2 linked regions of the Macaca mulatta genome follow. The main gene of each other region encodes a partner of the protein of the gene in region 2 in a complex. Links are inferred from orthologs where the notes say so. Each region holds a gene or a part of one and is shown on either strand. Other genes may lie near its edges. The genes, in order: EXOSC1 and EXOSC9.

The links.
Region 1: EXOSC9 (region 2) and EXOSC1 share a complex: the UniProt entries of both Homo sapiens proteins name them as parts of the RNA exosome core complex. The link is inferred for Macaca mulatta from reciprocal best matches to the Homo sapiens genes EXOSC9 and EXOSC1.

The regions. Positions count from the first base shown.
Region 1 is NC_133414.1:109,485,379-109,494,558, forward strand, and holds the end of EXOSC1 (exosome complex component CSL4), read right to left. Parts: intron 6,837-9,180; coding exon 6,748-6,836; intron 4,600-6,747; coding exon 4,566-4,599; coding exon of another isoform or gene 4,559-4,565; intron 3,639-4,558; coding exon 3,588-3,638; coding exon of another isoform or gene 3,503-3,587; intron 3,156-3,502; coding exon 3,071-3,155; intron 2,655-3,070; coding exon of another isoform or gene 2,641-2,654; exon of another isoform or gene 2,440-2,640; coding exon 2,333-2,439; 3' UTR 2,096-2,332; downstream 1-2,095. UniProt on the Homo sapiens protein: Non-catalytic component of the RNA exosome complex which has 3'->5' exoribonuclease activity and participates in a multitude of cellular RNA processing and degradation events.
Region 2 is NC_133410.1:130,614,952-130,624,741, reverse strand, and holds the start of EXOSC9 (exosome complex component RRP45), read right to left. Parts: upstream 6,327-9,790; 5' UTR 6,243-6,326; coding exon 6,177-6,242; intron 5,844-6,176; coding exon 5,749-5,843; intron 5,002-5,748; coding exon 4,882-5,001; intron 4,761-4,881; coding exon 4,658-4,760; intron 3,120-4,657; coding exon 2,982-3,119; intron 193-2,981; coding exon 110-192; intron 1-109. UniProt on the Homo sapiens protein: Non-catalytic component of the RNA exosome complex which has 3'->5' exoribonuclease activity and participates in a multitude of cellular RNA processing and degradation events.

The sequences.
Region 1 (9,180 bases), on a different chromosome or scaffold from region 2:
AGTGCAGTGGAAAGGAGTATAATTACATTATAAACACAATTGCCTTCTCTCTCCTTTGAAAAGATCACTGGAATACAAGAAATCCATAAAGCTGGAGAAAGAACATTCCCTTTTCCTTCTGGTGGGAGCAAGTAACACCATCTGTTGAGCTCCTAATGCTCCTCTGCCATCCACTGGATGAGGGATATTACATACGTTAGCTCTAATCTTAACCCACGAAAGGGCTGGTAACTCCTGTTTAAGGAAGAGGAAACAGGCCCAAAGAAACATGTAAAAAGCACCAAATGTCACACCACTTGGTACTGGGGCTGGGATGGATATTACTAGTTCAAGCAAATCAAGGTTCTAAGATTTAAATACTTTCAAGCATCTTGCTTTTCAATTTTAGATTTTCATTTGACCTACACAATAACCTTGAGTAATTTCAGTCTCCAAGAGGCTGGTGGAATGTTACTTTCCTAACCTGTGCAGAATCCTAGACCAGAAGTTGGTAATTTTGGCCAGCACGGCGGCACACACCTGTAATCCCAGCACTTTGGGAGGCTGAGGATCACTTGAGGCCAGGAGTTTGAGACTGGCCTGGGCAACATAGCAAGACCTGGTCTCTACAAAAAAAATTAGCCAGGCATGGTGGTATGTGCCTGTAGTCCCAGCTACCCAGGGGACTGATGTGGGGGAATTACGTGAGTCCAGGAGTTTGAGGCTGCAGTAAGCTATGACTGCACCACTGCGCTTCATCCTGGGTGACATTCTGAGGCCCTGTCTCTTTAAAAATTGCATGTACAACAAACAAAAACACCAAGGCCGGGCATGGTGGCTGATGCCTATAAGCCCAGCATTTTGGGAGGCCAAGGCAGGTGGATCACCTGAGGTCAGGAGTTCAAGACCAGTCTGGCCAACATGGTGAAACCTCATCTCTACCAAAAGTTAGCTGGGAATGGTGGTGCATGCCTGTACTCCCAGCTACCGGGAAAGCAGAAGCTGCAGTGAGTTGAGATCGCGCCACTGCACTCCAGCCTAGGTAACAGCAAGACTCTGTCTCAAAAACAAACAAACAACAAAACCTGGATGTGGATCTACAATGATCTTAATCTCGGTAAAATTTTCAATTAAAGAAACCCTAACGTTCAAGCTTAGGAAGCAGAGGATAGAAACTAAGGTGGGCTGATTCTAAAGCTCACATTATGCACTGTCACTAATACTGAAGAGATGGGCTTCTTGAGTAACATCTCAAGAAGTGACATCTCAAGACTCGTATTTTGTCGGCAACCTCTCCATGCTTAACTTTCATCCCTTCCTCATCCCCAAACTTATGCCTTAATTTCTGCTTCTGTACTTAGCCTGGGCTTGTCTCTCTGCCTTGAATATATTCACTTACTTATGTTCTTTAATTTATTTTTATCTCATGTCACTAATCCTTTCCTGGCCACCTCATATGACAGTACTCTGTCCCACTTTTCAATTCAGATTAAACATTTCCTGGAGTACCCACTATATCAGTAATGTGTATCAAATACTTTTAGACATGTTACTTATTTTTTTTGAGACAAGAGTCTCGCTCTGTTGTCCGGGCTGGAGTATAGTGGCACAATCTCGGCTCACTACAACTTCCACGTCCAGGGTTCAAGTGATCTTCCTGCCTCAGCTTCCCGAGTAGTTGGGATTACAGGCACGTGCCACCACGCCCGGCTAATTTTTGTATTTTTAGTAAAGATGGGGTTTTACCACGTTGGCCGGGCTGGTCTCGAACTCCTGACTTCAACCTAACTCGGCCTCCCAAAGTGTTGGGATTTACAAGCATGAGCCACCACGTCCGCCTCACATGCTATCTGTATCACATGTGTCCTCAAATTTTCATTAGACCATAATGTACCTGAATGAAGGGGATGTATGTAAAGCACTTGACTCAGTGCCTAGCACAGTGAGTACTCAATAAGCAGAAGTACTGAAATGTCCTGACACCATTTAGACGTCTTTCTCTGCTTAAGACAACTATAACATCCTTTTAGTAAAAAAGTTTTATCATAACAAAAAATAGGTATTTATAAGGACTGTCAGGGGGGATAGGCTATTTCCAATATCACAGTTTTGTTAGGCTATTTCCAATATCACAGTTTTGTTTGTTGGTGCCTTGAAAAGATAAGTTTTATTACTCAAGAGAATGAAATCCACTGATAGGTTCACAGAAACGTGTTCCATCTATAGCCTAAGTTTCTGGCAGATTTTTCTGGAAGAGGCTGTTGGCCGACGCCAGGTGTTTGAATAGACAGCAGCATCTTGGTGTTATACTCAGGAACAGCTTACCCCCTTCCATGGGGTAAAAAGTGGCTTCTTAGGTCTGCAAGAATTCAGGTTGTACTCGGGCTACTTTCCGGAATTCTTTAGTGTGGGTCTTAGGGCACTGCATCTCACACCAGCTGATGGGAACCATCTGGATACCTGGAAGGGAAAAACTGGTGGAGCCCAGATCCCAAAGATTTGCCTGGGACTCCTCTTTTATGCTGGGTATGAAACTGAAGTGCCACCAAGCTTCCTACTGAACCTCAACTCACAAAGAAAAAACTTTGTTCTACTGACTTATGGAGTCCCGTTTCCTTGGATTTATATAAGGAGAATCAGGCTGGGTGTGGTGGCTCACACCTACAATCTCAGCACTTTGGGAGGCCAAGGCGGGCAGATCATTTGAGGCCAGGAGTTTGAGACCAGTCTGGCCAACATGGCGAAACCCCGTCTCTACTAAAAATACAAAAATTAGCTAGGTGTGGTGGCGTGTATCTGTAATCCCAGTTACTTGGGTGATGAGAATTGCCTGAACCCGGGAGGTGAAGGCTGTGGTGAGTGGAGATCGCACCACTGCACTCCAGCCTCCTCGACACAGTGAGACCCAGTCTCAAACCACCACCACCACCACCGGCACCAAGCAAAGAAGAAAAAAAAAATCATTCTAATCTCAGAAGGAAATATCTACAGCCATACTGCTTCCCAGATAAGGGAAACCAGGAAAAACAATGGATTAATCCCAAACCATAGCTCCAGGGAAAGTAAGGATGTGGAAGCAAGGCCATCTCACCTGACTCACTGTGGGCTACCACTACTCCCAGCTCGTTCTCGGCAGTGGTTAGCAGGTAGTTGGACTGTGCATCACCTAGGGAGATCTAGTCACATAACACTGAAGGAAAATGAGGAGTTAGAAGTCTTCCCCCAACCTTAGCCAGCTGAGTTGTTTTTCTACTTTCTCTGTTTTGTTTTTTTGAGACGGAGTCTTGCTCTGTTACCCAGGCTGGAGAGCAGTGGCGCGATCTCAGCTCACAGCAACCTGTGCCTCCAGCGTTCCAGCGGTTCTCCTGCCTCAGTTTCCCGAGTAGCTGAGATTACAGCCATGCGCCACCACGTCCAGCTAATTTTTGTATTTTCAGTAGAGACAGGGTTTCACCATGTTGGGCCAGGCTGGTCTCGAACTCCTGACCTCAGGTGATCCACCCGCCTTGGCCTCCCAAAGTGCTGGGATTACAGGCATGAGCCACCACGCCCAGCCTCCATCTCTTCTTTTGACAAAAACCCAGAAGTCTGCTGGGAATAAAGGATACCACTTTGGCCAAGACAATGTCACCTGGGCGGAAACTCTTATAAATTTCAACCTGTAAAGAAAGAACAGGAATGGTAAGTGAAAGTTCTAGACAGGGTCTATATGAAACTGTGAACCCTTCTGGTAAAGCCAGTCTACTTTCTAATCCTGGAGGGTAGAAATCATCATTACTCATGTCAAGTCAACAACTTTTAATTGCTTCTATAGTATTATCATACAAATGAAAAGTTGTTTTTTTTTTTTTTTTTTTTTTTTTTGAGATGGAGTCTCGCTCTGTTGCCCAGGCTGGAGTGCAGTGGTACGATCTTGGCTCACTGCAACCTCCACCTCCCAGGTTCAAGCGATTCTCCTGCCTTAGCCTCCTGAGTAGCTGGGATTACAGGCGCGCAGCATGACGCTGGCTAGTTTTTGTATTTTTAGTAGAGATGGGGTTTCACCATGTTGGTCAGACTGGTCTTGAACTCCTGAGCTCGTGATCTGCCTGCCTTGGCCTTCCAAAAAGCTGGGATTACAGGTGTGCGCCACCGCACCCAGCCCTTTTTTGTTAAGGGTGGAATCCCACTGTGTCACCCAGGCTGGAGTGCAGTGATGCAATGGTAGCTCACTGCAGCCTTGGACTGCTGGACCAAGGGATCCTCCTGCCTCAGCCTCCCAAGTAGCTAGGACTACAGGTTTGTGCCACCACATAACCTCAAACTCCTGGGCTCAAGCAATCCTCCAGCCACATCCTCTCAAGCAGCTATGACTACAAGCATGAGCCACCATGCCCGCTAATTTTTAATTTTTAAAATTTTTGTAGAGACAGGGTCTCACTGTGTTGCCAGGGCTGGTCTTGAAGTCCTGGCCTCAAGTGATCCTCCCGCCTCAGCCTCCCAAAGTACTGGGATTACAGGTGTGTGCAACCATGCCTGGTCTGAGATAATACTTTTAAGGGATTGAGATTTGTAAAGCCGTTAAAAAAAGAGAACCAACCAACAACCTTGTCTTTTTCAGTTGCTCGGACATCTTCCTTGCTATAAAAAAAGAATTAACAGAAAGATTAATTATCTGTGAGAAAGAATTTTTTTTTTTTTTTTTTTTTTTAAAGACAGAGTCTCCCTCTGTCACCCAGGCTGGAGTACAGTGGCACGATCTCGGCTCACTGCAACCTCCGCCTCCTGGCTTCAGGCATTTTTCATGCCTCAGCCTCTCAAGCAGCTGGAATTACAGGCATGTGCTGCCACGCCCGGCTAGTTTTTGTATTTTTAGTGGAGATGGGGTTTCACCACATTGGCCAGGCTGGTCTTGAACTCCTGGCCTCAGGTGATCCACCCGCCTCAGCTTCCCAAAGTGCTGGGATTACAGGCATGAGTCACCTTGCCCAGCCTGTGAGAAAGAATTATTCTGTAGATTCCTAGTAAATAAAGAGCTACAAGAACAGACAGAACAAGTCTTAATTGGGACCCAGCTGCTACTCAGAGGAGCAGGGTGGAGAAGCATCCTCAGACCACACGGAGCAGCAGTATCAATACCTGATTAGATAAAGGCAGATCAGATTTGGCAAGAAACGATAAGGAGTTTTGTTGCCTCAGGGCTTGAACAGAAGCACTATAGCAAGGGTCCCCAACTTCTGGTGGCCTGTTAGGAACCGGGCTGCACAGAAGGAAGTGAGTGGCAAGCAAGCTTCATCTGTATTTACAGCTGCTCCCCAATCACACACATTACTGCCTGAGCTCCGCCCCCTGTCAGATCAAAGTGGGCATTAGATTCTCATAGAAGTATGAACCCTATTGTGAACTGTGCACATGAGGGAGCTAGGTTGCCCACTCATTATGAGAATCTAATGCTTGACGATCTGTCACTGTCTCCCATCACCCCCAGATGGGACCATCGAATTGCAGGGAAAGAAACTCAGGGTTCCCGCTGATTCTACATTATGGTGAGCTGTGTAATTATTTCATTATATATTACAGTGTAATAATAATAGAAATAAAGTACAGCATAAATGTAATGCACTTGAATCATTCTGCAACCACTCCCACCACAGTCTGTGGAAAAACTGTCTTCCAAGAAACTGGTCCCTGGTGCCAAGAAGCTTGGAGATTGCTGCACTACAGAACCACATCAAATCCTGAGGCTGGAAAGGGCCTCAAAAGTTAGATTATCTGCCTGGCAAGAAATGTTTGTCCTTTCTCAAGGAAGCCACAGGAAATCACCGTCTCACTCACAAATCTTTTCAATGTTTTATAACCTCTGAGTTCAATCTATATTAAAATTTTTAAAAAGTGCTTCCTAGAATGCCTTCCACTTTGGTTTGAGTCATCCTGACACTGATAAACTTCAGCTTCACTCAATTCTTTTTGCTTTACTTTTCATTTATTTATTTGTTTTTTGAGACAGGGTCTCACTTTGTCACCCAGGCTGGAGTGCAGTGGTACAATCTCAGCTCACTGCAACCTCCGCCTCCTAGGCTCAAGTGATCTTCCCACTTTAGCTCCACAAGTAGCTGGGACAACAGGTATGCACCACCATGCCCAGCTAATTTTTTTTTTTTTTTTTTTTTAAGAGATGGAGTCTCGCTGTGTACCCTGTGCCGGAGTGCAGTGGCGTGATCTTGGCTCACTGCAACCTCTGCCTCCCGGGTTCAGCCTCCTGAGTAGCTGGGATTACAGGCGCACGCCACCATGTCCGGCTAGTTTTTGTATTTTTAGTAGAGACGTGGTTTCACCATATTGGCCAGGCTGGTCTCAAACTCCTGACTTTGTGATCTGCCCACCTTGGCCTCCCAAAGTGCTAGGATTACAGGTGTGAGCCACTGTGCCCGGCTAATTTTTGTATTTTTTACAGAGACGGTGTTTCACCATGTTGGCTAGGCTGGTCTCAAACTCCTGATCTCAAGAGATCCATCCGCTTCAGCTTCCCAAAGTGCTAGGATTACAGGCATGAACCACTGTGCCCAGCCTTTGCTTTACTTTTAAACCCTCTCTTGTTAATATTTTCCTTTTGTCCTAGCTCATCCACATATTTTTGGATACTACTAGGGGAGAATCAAAGCACAAAGAAGAAAGAAAAATGGGCAAGAGAAAAATAGGAATTGTAACTGTTGCTCAAAATTCTGGTGTCCTAGTCTATCCTAATCTTATTGCAGTTGCTAAGGCATACGTGACAAGGATACTTCTTACCGGATAGTTCCTCGAAAAGAGTTCTTAAGTGGCATGGACCCCACATATAGGATGTGTACTTTGGCAAAGCGTGAATTGATACTAGAGACCTGTGGAATAGAGAAAAGATCAGCATCAGAGTATAAGCAGTTGTCAGCTCAAGGAAGCAGCAACGAACTGGGGATTACTAGGACTTCAATGCAAGCAACCCTACTAAGTAGAGAATTTAAGACAAGTTAACTCCTACTTCTCTGCATAAGTGACACATGTAAAGGGGAATAAGAGCCACTCTGGCCACCTGATAGAGTTACCATGGGAAACAAAGATGGTATGGGTTTTTTTTTGAGACAGAGTTTCGCTCTTGGTGCCCAGGCTGGAGTGCAATGGCGCAATCTTGGCTCACCGCAACCTCTGCCTCCCAGGTTCAAAGAATTCTCCTGCCTCAGCCTCCTGAGGAGCTGGGATTAAAGGCATGCACCACCATGCCTGGCTAATTTTGTATTTTTAGTAGAGACAGGGTTTCTCCATGTTGGTCAGGCTGGTCTCAAACTCCTGACCTCAGGTGATCCGCCTGCCTCGGCCTCCCAAAGTGCCGGGATTATAGACGTCAGCCACCACACCCTGCAGTTTTTTTTTGTTTTTTTTTTTTTTGAGACAGAGTCTTGCTCTGTCACCCAGGCTGGAGTACAGTGGCACGATCTCGGCTCACTGCAAGCTCTGCCTCCCAAGTTCATGCCATTCTCCTGCCTCAGCCTCCCCAGCAGCTGGGACAACAGGCACATGCCGCCACGCCCGGCTAATTTTTTAGTGGAGATGAGGTTTCACCATGTTAGCCAGGATGGTCTCGATCTCCTGACCTTGTGATCCGCCTGCCTCGGCCTCCGAAAGTGGTGGGATTACAGGCGTGAGCCACCACTCCCAGCTTTTTTTTTTTTAGTCTTTTCACAACTTGCCCTTCAGAGAAGTATAGATTTTTTAAAGTATAGATGGCTAACATTGGAAAAAAAAAAAAAAAGGCTGGACACGGTGGCTCATGCCTGTAATCCCAGCACTTTGGGAGGCTGAGGTGGGCACATCACTTGAGGTCAGGAGTTCGGGACCAGCCTGGCCAACCTGGTAAAACCCCATCTGTACTAAAAATACAAAAATTAGCTAGGCGTGGCAGCATACGCCTATAACCCCAGCTACTCGGGAGGCAGAGGCAGTAGAATCACTTGAACCCAAGAGGCAGAGGCTGCAGTGAGCCAAGATCGTGCCACTGCACTCCAGCCTGGGTGACAGAGCAAGGCCCTGCCTCAAAAAAAAAAAAAAAAAATCTAAAAAGGAAAAAAATCAAGGAATGCCAGAAAATAAAAGTCTTTTGCTTCTCTGCAGAAAAAGGTCTCAGCTTCAGATGTTCAAAAATAGGCTTCCCAATCATCCTCTGGCATCCCTGTTTCCCAGACACAGGTAGAAACTCTGTATTCAGAGAATCAGCTCAGTGAAGGAACTACGCATGCCTGACCTTGGCTGCCTTATTATTCTAGAAATCTGTAGACCAGAACAGTCCAGTAAAACTTTATGTAGTGACAGAAAAGTCATGTGCTGACCAGTATAGCAACCACTAGCCACAAGTGGCTACTGAGTACTTGAAATGTGGCTAATGTGACTAAGGAAACCAATTTTATTTTATTTTATTTTATTATTTTTTTTTTTTTGAGAAGGAGTCTCGCTCTGTCGCCCAGGCTGGAGTGCAGTAGCCGGATCTCAGCTCACTGCAAGCTCCGCCTCCCAGGTTCCCGCCATTCTCCTGCCTCAGCCTCCTGAGTAGCTGGGACTACAGGCGCCGCCACTTCGCCCGGCTAATTTTTTTGTATTTTTTTAGTAGAGACGGGGTTTCACCGTGTTAGCCAGGATAGTCTCGATCTCCTGACCTCATGATCCGCCCGTCTCGGCCTCCCAAAGTGCTGGGATTACAGGCGTGAGCCACCGCGCCCAGCCCTTATTTTTGAGAGACAAGTCTTGTCGTTACCCAGGCTGCAGTGATCATGGCTCACTGCAGCCTCAACCCCCTGGGTTCAAGCGATCCTCCTGCCTCAGCCTACCAAGTAGTTGGGACCACAGGCATGTGCTACCATGCCTGGCTAATTTTTTATTTTTATTTATTTATTTATTTATTTATTTATTTATTTATTTAATTTTCAGAGTCTCACTCTGTTGTCCAGGCTGGAGTGCCGTGACGCGGACTCATTGAAACCTCGGCCTCCCGGGTTCAAGCAAATCTCCTGCCTCAGACTCCCGAGTAGCTGGGATTATAGGCATGTGCCACCACATTGAGCTAATTTTTGTATTTTTAGTAGAGATGGGGTTTCATCATGTTAGCCATGATTGGCCAGGCTGGTCTCGAACTCCTGACCTCAGGTGATCTGCCCACCTTGGCCTCCCAAAGTGCTGGGATTACAGGCGTGAGCCACA
Region 2 (9,790 bases):
GTGTTTTAATATTAGGTGAAGTATTTAATATTAACATGACATACTTGAGTAGAACAATAAAATTCCTAGCTGCATTTGTAATTTTGGCCCATAACAAGGCGAGGCTTACCCTTGCTGGAAAAAGGCAAAACTGACACAAATGGGCATGTGGTGGATACTTAATGGTACAGGATCACGCTCTTCAGGTGTATACTGTTTCAAAAGAAAATGTTTAATAATTATAGTCACTAAGTTATGAACATACAAAAAAATCATCTTGCACATCAAATACTAAAATAAAAATGAAGTTCCTTTATTCCTTTGACTACCCAAATAACTTCTTTTATATTAATAATTACCTGTTTGATTTTGCCACTCATGTTCCTCAAACTGTACAACTTCTTCAAAAACCTTTTTCAAAAATTTACTGACATACATATAATTTACATCCCATAAAATCCACTTTTTTTTTGAGACGAAGTTTGTTGCCCAGGCTGGAGTGCAGTGGTACAATCTCAGCTTACCGCAACCTGCCCCTCCCGGGTTCAAGCGATTCTCGTGTCTCAGCCTCCCGAGTAGCTGGGATTACAGGCATGTGCCACCATGCCAGGCTAATTTTGTATTTTTAGTAGAGACGGGGTTTATCCACATTGGTCAGGCTGGTCTTAAACTCCTGACCTCAGGTGATCCACCTGCCTCGGCCACTCATAGTGCTGGCATTACAGGTGTGAGCCACCGCGCTCAGCCAAAACCCACTCATTTTAAGTATATGATTCAATTTTTAGTAAATGTGTAGTTATGGATATATTTATGGACTCATCACCACAATCTAGTTTTTTAACATTTCCATTACTCCCCAAAATTCCTTTGAATCTGTCTGTAGTCCATAGGAGTCTGGTGTACTCCCACCCTAGCCCCAAGGAACCACTGATCTATCTTATTTCTGTCTCTGTAAATCTGACTTTCTGAGCATTCTATATAAATGGAAAAAAAAATTGTAATGTTTTGCGCCTGGCTTCTTTCAACTCAGCATGCTTCATGTACCTTGCAGCATTTGTCAGTAGCTCAGTTCTTTTCATTACTGAACAGTATTTCATTATTTGTATATATGACATTTTATTTATCTACTCACCAGCTGGACATTCGAATTGTTTCCAGTTTCTGGCTAATACATGATGCTATGAATATTTGCATTCAAGTCTCTGAACACAATAAGCTCTTATTCCTCCTGTAGATTCTTAGGCATGGAATTGCTAGAATTTTTTTTTTTTCCAATTTTAAGCCATTGCAATTTGTCTTAATATTATAAAGTCGGCCGGGGGCGGTGGCTCACATCTGTAATCCCAGCACTTCGGAAGGCCGATGCAGGCGAGGTGGGGACTTCGAGACCAGCCTGACCAACATGGAGAAACCCTGTCTCTACTAAAAATACAAAATTAGCCAGGCGTGGTTGTGCATGCCTATAGTTCCAGCTACTTGGGAGGCTGAGGCAGGAAAATCGCTTGAACCCGGGAGGCAGATGTTGCAGTGGGTTGAGATCACATCATTGTACTCCAGCCCGGGCAACAAGAGTGAAACTCTTGTCTCAAAAAAAAAAAAAAAAAAAAAATTTACAAGGTTAAATCTGCTGAAAGATGTACATATAAGAGAGGAGTATTTTCAGCTGGCCATGGTGGCTCATGCCTGTAATCCCAACACTTTGGGAGGCCGAGGTGGGAGAATCACTTGAGCCCAGGAGTTCAAGACCAGCCTGGGCAATTTGGTGAAACCATATCTCTACAAAAAACACAAAAATTAGTCAAGCGGGTGGCACACACCTGTAGTCCCCGCTACTCAAGAGACTGAGGAGGGAGGATTGCTTAAGTTCAAGAGGCAGAGGGTACAGTGAGCCGAGATCATGCCACTGCACCCCAGCCTGGACAACAGAGTGAGACCCTGTCTCAAAAAAAAAAAAAAAAAGAGTATTTCCTTCTAATGTTATTTTTCTGAATATAGAATGTTGTCTACACTTAAAACTTAAGAAAGCTGCCAAACTTTTCCAACATGGCTGTACCATTTTACATTCCCACTAGCAAGAACACCACAGTATTCTTTAATTGATCTTTCAAGTGTAGTAATCGCTTTCTACTTTTTTTCACTTCCTTATATAAACTCCCTCCTCTAAAAGAATATTACCTCTACTGTTAATAAACCTTTGTCCCTACTTCTCACTTTTTAACGGTTCTGCTCCAGTCTACTGCCCAAAAGCAAAATTATGAATCATTGTTTAGAAAATCTGGGCATCTGATGTGTCCTTTTGCAACTTCAGGATTCAAACTACAACTACGGTGCACTTTCATTATTCTAGCAAGTAATTTATATAAATTAAAACTGACATACTCAGAACAAAAGATAAAGAAAATGTAGGTCAATGGTTTTCAAAATGTGCTCCCTGGACCAGCAACATCAGTATTACCTAAGAACTCAAAGTTAAAAGTACAAATTCTTAAGTCGTAGCCCTGTTTCACTTTGGGAGTAGAGTCTAGCAATATGTTTTAACAAGCCCTCCGGGTATTTCTGATGGACTTTCATCAGCTCTTTGCCTAATGAACAAACATCCTGGAGACAAATATGAATCTGCTGATTCCTCAGTGCTTTTCAGCTATTGCATACCTCTTGCAGGGTAAGCATCTCACTGTGCTGAGATTCATTTATTTTTCACACATATGGCCCTTAAACATAAGTCAAACACTTCATCTAATGCTCAATCCAAAATAGTCATCTAATTCTATTCTGGAAAACCATGCTACGGTATGTTCTTACTGACAAATGTTTCAATAGAGGAACTGTTAAGAGATTTCAAGGGCAATTTTGACCATATGCAGTTTTAGTCTTATGAACAAATTTTTAGAACCTACCCAATTGCCATCTACAACATAACTTCACTAAAAACAAGTTTCCTGCACATTTAGGACCCTCCTCATTCATTCGTATCAAGGATCCTGGTTCACATAAGAGCTTACCAGTGTTACTTCATCTCCTTGGACAGAGACATCAGGTCTTCGGAAGTGACATAAAGCCACAATTGCAGCAATGCTGGCAGCATCAATAATATTTCCATCATGATTTAATAAATGTAGGTCTACACGTATTTGCCAAACCTGATAGTGAATTTAAAATAAAATAAATCCTGATTACAACCAGTGGCTATTTATCAAGAAAAGTAACATTGTGCACAAAGTAATTTTTCTTGCTGTTAAAACATGCAGTTACTCCTTCTAGTTTGTTAACAAAAAATGTATTTTAGAAAATTTAAGCCAAACATCTGAAATACTATGTGAGTCGTTTAATCGTAGAACACATACTTTAAATAGACAGAACTACTCTAATGTTTAATACTAAGATTTTCCTAACCTCAAATCTAATTACATTTTTATCATGTCTGTTAAAAACCACAAACTCTAGGTCAGGCACAGTGGCATTCACCTGTAATCCCAGCACTTTGGGAGGCGAAGATGGGAGAATTGCTTGAGCCTAGGAGTTCGAGACCAGCCTGGGCAACACAGCAAGACCCTATCTCTACGAAAAAAAAAAAAGTTTTTTAGTTAGCTGGGTGGAGTGGCATGCGCCTGTAGTCCTAGCTATTCGGGAGGCTAAGGAGAGAGGATCCCTTGAGCCCAGGAGTTTAAGGTTACAGTGAGCTATAATAACACCACTGCACTCCTGCCTGGATGAAAGTGTCACTGTCCCTAACAGAAAATAATGAATATTTTCAAAAATTAAAAAACGTTAACCTTTTAGGTTTTGTGATATTTTTAATAACTTTACAAGTAATGCAAATAGGAAGTATTATACTTAGGTATGGAATATGGAAAGCTAAATGACTTCTCTGGAATAAAAATGCTTGTCAAAATACCCTAATCAAGAATCAAATTCTGGCCAGGCACAGTAGCTCACGCCTATAATCCCAGCACTTTGGGAGGCCAAGGTGGGTGGATCACTTGAGGTCTGGAGTTCAAGACCAGTCTGATGGTGAAACTCTGTCTCTACTAAAAATACAAAAATTAGCCGGGTGTGGTGGCAGATGCCTGTAGTTCCAGCTGCTCAGAAAGCTGAGTGGGAGAATTGCTTGAACAGGGGAGGCAGAGGATGCAGTGAGCTGAGATTATACCACTGCACTCCAGTCTGGGCAACAGAGTGAGACTCTGTCTCAAAAAAAAAAAAAGAATAAAAGTCTAATATCCTAATGCAGCACAATTTATTGGGACTAAGATTTTCAAAATTATCCCTGCCACTGACATGGTGTGGCCCTGTGTAACTCGATAAACCTATCCAAATGAAGGATTTCTTCTGTTCTTGAGTTCTGCATGAAAAACTACCTGCTTCTATGAACACCTGCTTCTATGAACGCAGATAAGAAAATGAGATTATATGAAAAAGCCACAAATTCTTTGAATAAAATATTTTTACACAAAAATCTAAGTTGCTATTTTCACCCTTTTAGAATAATGCTTTTTATCCCTTCAGAGAGATAGAGGTGGCACAAAGTTCTAAGGGTATCACTCAAGAACATCTGAAGTGAAGTGAATCAGTACAAAACTTGAGTTGACTAAAGTTCTGAGAATAAAAGCTCAGACACCGGGATCCATGAATCAACAGTATTCATCCTAAGATTAAGAATTATGGGCATATTCCCCACCTTTTCACCAGCAACAACACAGAGAGATTCAGTGTCTATACACTTCGAATTTCTTAGACATCTTTCCAAGAGTCGATTCAACTTCACCAAGAGATCTGACTGCCTATAATAAGAAAATAGGAATGGGCTACTGTCATGAAATATAACACCTGGTATTAAAACAAAAGCTCATTGCTGTTAGGTTCTCCTATGACTAAAGCAGCTTAAGAAAAAGATTTAAATACCTGCCAGGTTCGAAAGCTGGAGCAGCCATCTGAGAGAGTTCAAGGTTAAAAAAAAGAATACCTTCTGTTGCCCTATTGAGTTTTGGAGACACAAGTTCACAGGAAACCTGTCCAAGAACTCTGCAAAGATAAAGTACAAAGTATTAACTAAATAGACTCTCCTTCCAAAAAAAAAAAATCTGAAACAGATCACAAGTTTCAATCTTAATGTGAGTAATATCATAGTAAGCCAGATAAATCATAGAAAGTAAAAAATATATGTAAAGTATAATATACACAGAAATAAAACATAAATTGGTGCAACTAAAAACACGACAGAAAAAACACCTCTCTTCTTATTACAATGTTTACTATTCCACAGATTGTTCTAAAAAATCAATGACCTTTACCTCTAAAGCAAGTATTTATTGATACAAGATGGCATGAAAACTTGATATTTAAGTGTTTTCACATGCCATAGTTCACCACCATTAACTGACCAAATAGCCTTACAACTTTCAAATGAATATTTGAAAACCTAACTTTCATGTCACTCGAAAAACAGGAAATCAGGATGTACACTTAATGACAAGATGCTCAAGATCTCTGTATTAGTGTGAGAAACAAATTCGATATGAGCACTACTGGTTGTCTACACGATTTACAGAAGTCAGAACTATGTGATAGGTGACAGAAAATACGTTTATGATTAAAAAGTTCAAGTGTGACCACAAAATCAAAAAATCTTGCATAAAAAATACTTATTTTTGTCAGCTAAACAAAGAATACTGTGCAGACTTCTTAGCTGCTTTATAAACAACCGAGTCAATAAGGTCTTTTTTCAAACTTCTCCCTTTTCAATGTGTTATCTCATTTAAATCCTGTTACCTTGTTTTGCCAAGTTCCACAATGCAGCATCCGTAATCTGTTCCAAATGAGATCCTGATGTTCCTATAATCATAGGTTTGTCTGCCATCCAGCCGCTGTTAAGCACAAATTCATTCATTCATTTATTCCTTCAACAAGTATGTCTTAAGCAACTACTTTTTGTCTGGCCCTGGGCTAAGCACTTGGGGGAAAGTGGAATCCTAACCACCCCGCCCATACAAGAAAGTGGAAACTACAGCACGGACAACTGCTGGGGTGACTAGAGACTCGAAAAGAACCTGTCGAAAAAAAATAAAGCCTGGGGAATGGGGTGAACGTGCCGGTCGTTCCCCTAATGGCTCCCCCGGCCCAGGCGGACCAGGTATGAGTCCACACCTTGAGACCCGGGCGCCCATGCAGCGCGCAATTCTGCGGGGACCAAACCATACCTTCTTTTCTTCGATGGCACGGAGTAGGAAGCGGCGTTCGCAGTTTGAGAGTGGCGTTTCCTTCATGGTATTGGGTCACCGGCCCCACAGGCACCAGAATCCGCGGGAAAAACGGAAACTGACTTTTCCTTACGCGCCGCTGCCGGTCCCGAGGCGCAGGAAAATTTCGTCATCAAAACGCGGCGGCAGGAAATAGGCAAGGGCTTGGGCAGTCGCTACTGCGCAGACTCAAAGCGTGATTGGGGCGGGCCAGCGGTCAGCAAGAAGCCAGTGCGGCTTAGGGAGGGCGTTTCTGAACGTGAAATTGCGTTTCTTTTCTCATAAAATGCGGAGGAGAAAAGGATACTCAAAATAACCATCAGAGTGGTAGAAATTAATATCAGTAGACCGCTCTCACACTTCACCGTTCGCTCAGTCCTCTTGCGGGGTGGAGACTAGAGAGATACTACTGCAATTTCACAGATGAGTTGACATTGGCCCCTAGAAAGCCGCAGATGCAGGATTTGGAGCATATTAAATGAACAAACACTGGAATGAGGCGGCATAAGGGTTGCGGGAGAAAGTTAAGATGGTGAAATGGGATGTTTTTGTGGCCAAAGGTGAAATTTTGTGGGATCTGAGAAGTTGATGAGAATGGAGAACTTTCGCACGTAATAACCAATGATGTTACTACTTCTGTGGGCTGAAACTAAATGTACCGTTTATTTCTCATCCCCTCTCCAGTTATTTTAAGTCGATAGACTTATTTTTATGGTCACAGAGAAACCTTAGCTGGGCCATGCTGCCAACCAATCAGCTTTTTTGGAGAGGCAGTATCAAATAGTACTTTTAAAAAGTGTTCACTGCCAGGGTTCAAATTTTAAGTCTGTCGTTAACTACTATAACCCTGGGCAAGTTAACCTGTGTGCTTCACATTACTCACCTGCAAAAAAAAAAAAAAAAAAAGAGGGCGGCGGGGAGTGAGAAACCTATTTATTATGAGGAATAAAATGAGTGAATAGATACATAAAATGTTTAGAACGGTGCCTGGCATGGAGTAAGCACTATTTAAGTGTTTGCATATTATTATTTTGTTTCCTTTTGCTTTAGAGGTGGTAGGCACTGTAACTCCTACGCAGTCTCTCTTTGGCTTCTTTGGTAGCTTCTCACACGTTATTTCTACCAGTGATACATTTTAGTCTCACTTTGTACCACTTGCAATCCATGTACTCAATAAATACTTGAAGAGGGCCTACTCTGTCCAAGAATAATTTAAGTGCTGGAGAAACAGGGTAGACAAGATCCTTTCTCTCAAGGAATTTACATTCTTTTTGGAAAGACAAAAAAACCCTAAACAAATAGAACAATTTCACACAATGGTAAGTGCTCTCTGAGAATAGGAATGCTATCTTAATAGGGGTAGTTGCAGGAACAGGTGACTTTGTAGAGCTGACATTTAAGTAAAGTAAATCTTTGGTGTTGAGCAGGAGCACCCTTGATGCCATCTGGAGAGGAAAAGTGTTTCAAGCAGAAAGAGTAACATATGCAAAAACTGAAATGGGATGAGCTCCACATGGTCTGGAGACAGAAATTGTGAAGAAGGAGGAAAGTGGACAGAAATGATTAATTTTCAAAATCGGCAAGGGGATTACAGGGTACTAACCACTTAAGTTCTTTAACAACATAAGTTCATTTTTATTATACAGTTTCACACCAGAACTGCTGGTAGATAAGTTCTTCATTTAAATCCTTGGGTTCTTTCAGTGGCCATTTGGTAATTTTTCCCTTCAGCAATGAAATAGGCCTTTGTTGAAATAGCGTGTTACTTCCTGCAAGGCAGCTTGGTAATGGAAAGAGAATGGACTTTGGCTTCAGATAAACTTCAGCTCAAATGGACTTGGAGTGAGCTAAATAATCTTTCTTATTTGGGAGTTCTGTATCTTCAGATTGGAAGTAACAATTACTCTGTGTTAAGTGGTCTGAATGAAAGTATCTAATGAAACATTTTGGACATGATAGCTATTCAAATGTTAGTTTCCTCCTTCCTTGTTGGCTTGGCAAAGGCTTCCCATGCAACTGCCCAAACTCAGTATGACAGATTGCTTTTCTGAGATTGCTGCTTGATTACTTTGCTTTCCTTCCACTTTTGTTGGATTTCCACTGTTCTTTTCTACTTTCACTTTTATATTCTAATTTTAACACTCCTGCTTTTGTCTTTTTATTTTTGAGTTAATCCAAACGTGTATGACCCATCTCCACTTACTACTACATACCATCATAAAATATATCTACTTTACAACCTTGTGTTTATAAGAAATTTTTGAATGCCAAAGGAAAATTTGTTTCATGATTTCAGGGAAAAATAGGTTTGGAAGATTAAGAAGAAGTTCAGATAATGTGATACATTCTATTTTTTTTTTTTTTTTTCCAGACAGTCTCACTCTGTCACCCAGGCTGGAGTGTAGCGGCATGATCTTGGCTCACTGCAACCTCCACCTCCCAGGTTAAAGAAATTCTTCTGCCTCAGCCTCCCGGGTAGCTGGGACTGTAGGCATGCGCCACCACACCTGGCTAATTTTTGTATTTTTAGTAGAGACGGGGTTTCACCGTGTTGGTCAGGCTGGTTTCAAACTCCTGACTTCAGGTGATTTGCCCACCTTGGCCTCCCAAAGTGCAGGGATTAGAGGCGTGAGCCACCGCACTTGGCCTTACTTTCTGTTCTTAAAAGAAGAATCAATTTGAATCAGCATGTTAATCTGGATGATCTGTCTAAAAATAACCTAGTTCTCAACAAACTATTTGAGTATGCATTCTCTTTATTGAACATCAGTTGCTTTGTCTGACCAGCATCCTTTTATTTCTTGGAGAAATGCACTTTCCTGACCCCATGCGATTCTAGTGAGCCAATACATTTGAGTTGGTCTTTGTAAAAGTGTGTCCAAAGGAATTCTAATACATTTCTACTAGAATATAAAGTCCATGTCTTCTCAACCTTTGTAGCACCCACTGAGACTGGTAGTGTACCTTGTGAATAAAAGGATGAATGGCCTATTATAGCATATCTGGTGAAAGAATTAATGGGTGGAGGCCAGGTGCAGTGCCTCACGCCTGTAATCTTAGCACGCTGGGAGGCCAAAGCGGCCAGATCACTTGAGGTCAGGAATTTGAGACCAGCCTGGCCAACATGGTGAAACCCCCGTCTCCACTAAAATTACAAAAATTAGCTGGGCATGGTGGCACACACCTATCCCAGCTACTCAGGAGGCTGAGGCTGGAGAATCACTTGAACCCAAAAGGTGGAGGTTGCAGTGAACTGAGATTACACTACTGCACTCCATCCTGAACAATAGAGCAAGAATCCATCTCAAAAAAAAAAAAAAGGCCTGGGCACCGTGGCCATGCCTATAATCTCAGTACTTTGGGAGGCCAAGGCAGGCAGATCATATGAGTTCAAGAGTTTGAGACCAGCCTGACCAACATGGTGAAACCCTGTCTCTACTAAAAATACAAAAATTAGCCGGGCACGGTGGCACACACCTGTAATCCCAGCTACTCAGGAGGCTGAGGCTAGAGAATCACTTGAACCTGGGAGCCAGAGGTTGCAGTGAGTCGAGATTGTGCCACTGCACTGCAAC